2 linked regions of the Oryzias latipes genome follow. The main gene of each other region encodes a partner of the protein of the gene in region 2 in a complex. Links are inferred from orthologs where the notes say so. Each region holds a gene or a part of one and is shown on either strand. Other genes may lie near its edges.

The links.
Region 1: the proteins of itgb5 (region 2) and pak4 are in contact, whole or in part, in a crystal structure (PDB 7S46), measured with the Homo sapiens proteins. The link is inferred for Oryzias latipes from reciprocal best matches to the Homo sapiens genes ITGB5 and PAK4. Residues at the interface, in NP_002204.2 of Homo sapiens: Ser762, Arg763, Ala764, Arg765, Tyr766, Glu767, Met768, Ala769, Ser770; in NP_001014831.1 of Homo sapiens: Gly330, Ser331, Gln358, Arg359, Leu362, Thr404, Lys442, Ser443, Asp444, Asp458, Phe461, Leu475, Val476, Gly477, Thr478, Pro479, Tyr480, Trp481, Met482, Glu507, Glu512, Phe516, Asn517, Glu518, Pro519, Pro520, Met524.

What each region holds. Positions count from the first base shown.
Region 1 is NC_019871.2:3,962,345-3,965,315, forward strand, and holds the end of pak4 (serine/threonine-protein kinase PAK 4), read right to left. Parts: intron 2,326-2,971; coding exon 2,170-2,325; 3' UTR 684-2,169; downstream 1-683. UniProt on the Homo sapiens protein: Serine/threonine-protein kinase that plays a role in a variety of different signaling pathways including cytoskeleton regulation, cell adhesion turnover, cell migration, growth, proliferation or cell survival.
Region 2 is NC_019879.2:658,416-662,233, forward strand, and holds part of itgb5 (integrin beta-5), read left to right. Parts: intron 1-1,814; coding exon 1,815-1,983; intron 1,984-3,433; coding exon 3,434-3,595; intron 3,596-3,818.

The sequences.
Region 1 (2,971 bases), on a different chromosome or scaffold from region 2:
CTCGTAAAGTCGCTCAGTTCTAAAAAAAAATTGCAGCTAAAGCTCGTCTTTAGCGGTGTAGCTTTCCACAGAATCCGGTATCAGACCGTGGAACAAGTGAACAAAACAATGAAGCTCCGAAAAGCAATCTCCGGCCGTTTTATGCACTACATCTCCCATGATGCATTGGGTTGTGAGAGTGACAGCGCATACGGAGATCTGTTGTTAAACGTTTTGAAACCAACGAACACACATCAAACTATTTTTAAATCTTCTAACTTATCTTTTATTGCATCTTTTAGAAAAAACAGCTGCAGTTTCCAGCTTTTTCTGTAACAATTATCTCAAAAATGCATGTGAGATTGTGGAGGGAGGGGCTGTAGATCAATACAGACTATGAGTTTCTCCTTTTTTTTTTAATTTTTGGATGCTGGTGTGCCGCGGGATTTTTTTAAGGTTAAAGTGTGCCGTGGCTCAGAAAAGGTTGAAAAACACTGGTCTAGAAAACGTTAGGCTTTTTTGGTTTTAGATGAATAGAAGATCAGAGTGGGTCTTTCAGAGAGGAAGAGCTCCTCACTTTTGATAAAAAAGTGATTCCTGAATAACTCTTTTCCGATTCTGAGGCACAAACTCGCTGCTTCCCGGCGCCGCTGCCAAACGCCTGCTGCCGCTCTGTGAGGAACAAACTGCAGACACACACGGGATCCTTAACAAAAACTGTATTTGCAAAAAGAGTCAAATCTGCAAAGACGTTTTTACAGTGACATTTACAGAGGCGTCCTGCTGCGGCGGGAAGTCGGGCCGAACAGGTCGCGTCGGACGTGGCGAGGAAAACCTGCGGATTCTCAGCAGCTGAGGTGACCGGTTCGAAAACAAAGACGTTAAGGCATGACAGCTAACTGACAGGCACAGAACAGGAACTAAAAGGCTCTGAAATCCTTAAAATAAAATAAAACCGCGTATCTGTTAAATGATCTTAAAAGACTTTGATCAGCCGTCTGTTGACACTAAAATCAGGGCGGAAAGGCTCGACTCTTCATCTCAGGGACCGGAGCTCCACGTCACGCGTGTTTACATGAACACAGAGATGACTGGAGACTTCTGTTGACCTGGTAAAACGGGAAACAACAAAACCATCGCTCTTCCTGTGACGCTTTTGGATCAACGGAGCCGAGAAGTTCCGGCTGTTGGTTCCATCGCGGCTTTCATAAACCGACTTCACGCCACGAAGCAGATCCAGAACGCCAAACAGCCGTCTGGACGTCTGCCGTGGAGGTAAAGCGGCTTTAAACTTGGCCTGAAGGAGAGCAAAAACGATCAATTTAGTTCTTCACATTTAAGAAGTTCATCCTCTGAGGATCAGAGCTGGAAGAACCCGATCATCTGAGCTGATTCTTCTTTGTTTTTTAAGGTGAACCTGAAGAAACGCTCAGAGACTGGCGGGTGATCCCGCGATGAGGCGTTAAGGAGACGGGCGACGCAGCATGACGGCATAAAAATCCACATCGTTTACTGTAAACAGCAGCCGGAGAGCTGCAGCAGAGAGAGAGGTGGGAGCTGGAGAAGAAGAAAGGAAAACGGCGCCTCTTTTAGCTTATTTTCTACACGGAGTTTCAGAAATCAGCTGCAGGAAGTGGCCTCGGAGAAGCCGAGCTGCTTCTCCCGCTGCTGTCTGAGTAACGTGCGGACTAAAAATAAAAAGGTTTAGTGTCTGCTCGGCTGAAAGCAGCGTCTATCTCCACAGTGCTTCACAAAATCATCACTCTAAAGAGGAAGAACAGAAAACACAACAGTGGCCTGTTAAACAGATATATCTCTATGTTCATGTCAGGAAAAGAATCATCTAGTGGGATCCAGTGTTTAGGTCAAAGCTCTCGTCTCTCAGTAGTAGCTTCTGGATGAAGATAGTGTTCGGTTTGGGAGAACGTCTGTGGAGGAGGAGGCCCAGAAGGGACATTCTAGACCCCTTCAGGGCGTCCGGCCGATGTGCAAAAGCAACGTTCACTGCAGGATTGGGGTGGAGCGTCCGGCGGGGAGCTGCAGCTGCACCTTCAGCCTGCAGCTTACTGCCTTTCGCTCAGCGCTCCCCGCGGTTCTCGAGGGGCCCTCCTGCAAACCGCCGGCGTTTGACCCCCGACCTCTGTGTGCAGGAGTGTTCTGGTCTTGGAACGCACACCCCCGCCCCCGCCCTCACTTCATTCGGTTCTGCCTCATCAGCGGGACGATGCAGGACGGCGGGCCCGACTTGGCGAGGAAGGGGTGTTTGAGGAGCTCGCTGGCCGTGGCCCTCTGAGCCGGCTCTCGAACCAGCATCCTGTCCAGGAAGCCTTTGAGCAACGGGGAGACCTGAGGGGAGGGGGGGGAAGAGGGGAAGAGAAAGACGTCACAGGATGTTTTGGAAACACTTTCTGCACATTTCTGTCGTTTCCAGCGGTTGTTTGTGTTCCGTCGGTCTTTCATGCGACTCCATACAGTGAAGGTGAACCTCGACCACCCCCCACCCCCACCCCCCGCAGCTCCTGTAAGTAAAACGCCACGAAAAGGCTGCAAACCTGCCAACTTTGTTTGATGGGTTTGAGCGCAGGAAAGCATTTTTTTGATGCTCAAAAATGAACTTTTGCTGTCGTCAAACTCACAAAGATGGATCATTCGGATGAAGAAATCTGCACAGCTGATCGTAAAGCCAACACCAGAATCACTAACTGTATTTTAGAACTGGACTGAGTGCCCCCCCCCACGGCGTTCCCAAACAGGAAGTGGCTCCAAGAAGCCAGATCATCCATTCTTGCTCTGATACCTCTTTTTATTTACATGTTATTAATAAGCCAAATTTTTTCCATAATATTCTTTTGTAGTTTAAGTTATTCCAGTTATAAACTGACCAATCAGATGCCTCAGTTAAAGTAGGAGGGGCCTGTTGGCCCACTTTAAAGCCAACTTTAAAGTAGGTAGGGGTGTGGCCATAGAAACGTTGACTGTCCGGCTCAGACCA
Region 2 (3,818 bases):
ATCCATCTGTGGCTGAAGGCTAAAGGGGAAAATGAAAGGCGTATTTGCCTTTTTAGGGTGCTAGGTCAAAAATGGAAAGAAAGTGTGGTGGATGACACGGAGGGGAGGACTTGATGTTTGCCCTGGAGGTGAGCCCCCCCCCCCTCTCCAACTCGCTGTCCGCCATCGCGCATCACTTCCCATTTAGGTTAGAGCGCAGCGGATGGCGGTGGTTTGACCTGTGGTGACCTGCATACTTCATGTTAGTGATGGGGCTTCCACAGGGAAGGACTGGGGCTGTGGAACCGTCACGAAAAAACGACACAAAGAAAATGTTGAAAACTCTGAACAATAGAGGAGCTCTGCAGATCTTAGGTTTTAGGTTACCATCGCCACAACTACAACAGATTCTGCTGAAACTAAAAATGAATTAAAACATCTAAAGTGAATTTTGTGGAATTAGGGCCTAAAAAAGAAATTCAGTTATTTGTGATCTTACAGTTTTTCCATTTGTGTTCAAAGAAACATGTTAGTCTGGTAAACCGAAGAACTCTATTTTGTTCTATTAAGTATGGATGGTAATACATTTTTTAAATGTCAGAAGAGTTTATGCTGCATTCACACTGGACGCGATTCACGTGTCAAATTCCTGTATGCTGCTTCTCTTTTGATGTGTGTCAGATTTACTGCTGGACGCCTTGACGTCCCGGCCGCAGAGCAGCTGCCAACGTTTTTCTGGACTTTATTTGTTGCAGCATCATGAAAACATGGATGATGTTAAGCTGGGTTCACCAGATCCTCTTCCTTTTCACTGAGTTGCTGGTGACCAACCCGGTTACTGGTGGGTGAAGGCGGGGGACACCCTGGGCAGGTCAACAGCCTGTCAAAGAGTCCAATGTTGGAGCTAGCGAATGCCGCCGATCAGAGTCCGGCCAGACGGCGGGAGCGGGCTCGATCACTGGCGACCTGCCCAGGCCGCATCCCGCCTTCACCCAACAGTAACTGGGACAGCCGTCTCCCCACAGCGCCAGTGGATTGAGAAAATGGATGGAAGTTCACGATGAAAATCCTCACGTCGAGCAGCCATATTGAATTAATTTTTCTACTCTTTGATCGAGCCACTGGAAATGTCACGTGCCCAAAGCTGCGTCCCACGCGCCCCGCCTAACGCCCAAATTGTGCCGCAGGACCTCAGATTGCATCTGTACATTGACTTAACATTGAAACTCGACGCCCCCATGGGCAAATTGTGTCATGTGTGAATGCAGCCTTAACCTTTGTATACTAAAGAAATGGTACATTTTACTGATCTGTCCATTGGATGTGGGCTTACTACAGCTTCACGTTAGCTTGCTTGCACCTCTGTGTTAGCATACTGTAGTTTTATGTTGGCACGCTGCGGCTCCATGTAAGCGTACTGCTGTGTTAGCATAAAGGTCAGAGCATTGACTGTTACCGGACCGAGCGAGTGTGATGCCCTCCCATAGAAAATGGCTTACTTACGGCTCCAATGAGATGTAGGCAATTCAGTCGCCATTTTTCCATAATATAGAGGCCGCCATTTGGAGCCAGCTGACATTAGTTTGCAGTGATTGGAGTTAATTTTTGATATGGCAGCTACTGTCGCCAATCGTAGTGAGCTTCTTGGACGTCCACACCCCTACCACTGAACGCAGGATCAGGAGAATCTGTCAATCAAAATTTCGAGTGTTTGAGGTGGGGGCCAATGGCACCACATGCTTTTACTGAGGCATCTGATTGGCCAATTTATAACATAACATGCATAAAGAAATTCCAGAAGAGGGCCCGTTCTTTAAACCGATCTCCTTCCTTAGATTCAAGCTGTTCCCCCAATGCGTCCCCACCTTCGGTTTCCGGCACATTCTCCCCCTGACCGACCAGGTGGATCGATTTAACCAAGAGGTGCAGAAGCAGCTGGTATCTCGCAACAGGGACGCTCCTGAAGGCGGGTTTGACGCCATCCTGCAGGCAGCCGTATGTGAGGTGAGGTGCTTCTTTTGTCACTGTTTCCGATGGAGACACATTTCCTGGGGGGGGGGGGGGGGGGGGGGGGGGCAAGAAGTTCAGGTCCATTGTGGCTGCTCGTCTATCACAGCACTGGCTTCAGCCCGGTTTCCTCCTACAGTGGAATTGTTTGCCAGACACGACAGTGGCTCCTGCCCTGCAATTAACTGGTGTTAAACCGTTACAGCATGGAGGCGGGGCTTCCCCAACTTGTGGCCTTATTGGTTGAACTTCTTTCACAAAGTAATACTGCTTCACCGCTTTTTTGCAGAGGCCTGTGGGGGCATAAACAAAAGTTTTTGGACAGATTGGGGTGTTATTCCATCACCCAATGCTTACACGCCGCATTCACACGCCCTCCAGCAGAAGCCCTCTCCGGGTTTAGGAGGTGCAGCTGCGTTGCGTCTGAAGGCGTCTGTAATTTTTGGATTCAGAGTAAATTTGCCCTCTGAGCAGGGATTAGGTTGTCTTTGCTGCATCAATGGTTTGTTTCAGAGTTGGGCCTCGCCACACAACAGCCTTTCTGTTGTTGGTCTCACAGACGTGCTAAAGGACAACAAAGAGGCTCTTAGCTGATTGGCTGAAACACGCCGTGGTTCAGTCTGCGCCTGCCTGTTGGTTCCTGCTGATAATGCTCTGGACAGCTCTCCTGCTTGTTTTCACACTGTGTGTGTGTGTGCACACGTGTGTATGTGTGTGTTTGGATACAGTTTTTTATATTCAAGTTTTCCTCCCAAATGAAAGATCTTCTTCCACTTTCGGCTTCTCCCATCAGGGGTCGCCACAGCGAACGAGTCGCATGGTAAATTTGGCAATGTTTTACGCCGGATGCCCTTCCTGACGCAACCTTCTCAAACCGGGCTTGGAACCGGCAGAGGTAGAGAAGGGAACAGGGAGCAGCCCGGAGTCGAACCCGGGTTTCACGGACGGAAGGCGCCGCAAACCAGCACGAGCTAAACTGGCAAATGAAAGATAAAGGTTTTAGTTTGAAAATCTCTTTCCACGCCTTTGTTTCAAAGGAAATAACTTTGAAGCAATTGCTCAAATATATGACTTAACTGAGAGGGATCTGCTGATACTTGGCAGTGATGCTACTGCTCACTCTGTCCATTAATTGCAAGGGTTGCGTGACAGTATTGCTGCAGGTTTACAATGGCACCCAGTTTTAGAAAGTGCTTGGGGCCGCATGTTCTTGGTTCTGTTATGACCAGAGCCTACTTAATTTTAATGGGGGCCGCATTTAGTCCACGGGCCAGACTCGGGTCATGCCTGCCTTTGTGGCTTTGGCTGCCTCTGCAGCAGGGCCTGATGGGAAAACTGCGGGTTTTTCTTCTACTGCAAGCCGCCCTCCTTCTTCAGCAGCTTTACATGAGTATTTGCTCAAAGGCAGAGGGTGTGGGTGAGACGCTGACTGCTGGATCTTCAACAGGACAAAATCGGCTGGAGGAAGGAGGCGTATCACCTGCTGGTGTTTGCCACGGACGACGTGCCGCACCTGGCTCTGGATGGGCGGCTGGGGGGCCTGGTTAGGCCTCACGATGGGCGGTGCCACTTGGACGACCAAAACGAGTACAGCGCGTCCACCAAGATGGTAAGGTCCACTGAGACTGCGTTCATTATGTCAGAAAATTACCCCTGTATTGTAAATCCTCTCCAGTTTAGTTCTGAGAGATGAAGCAACACAGAAGCTCTCCAAGCTGAGACTTCCAAGTTTAGCTGTCTTCTTCAGCCGTCTGCTTTCAGCTGTCTTCTTCAGCCGTCTGCTTTCAGCTGTCTTCTTCAGCCGTCTGCTTTCAGCCGTCTGCTTTCAGCCG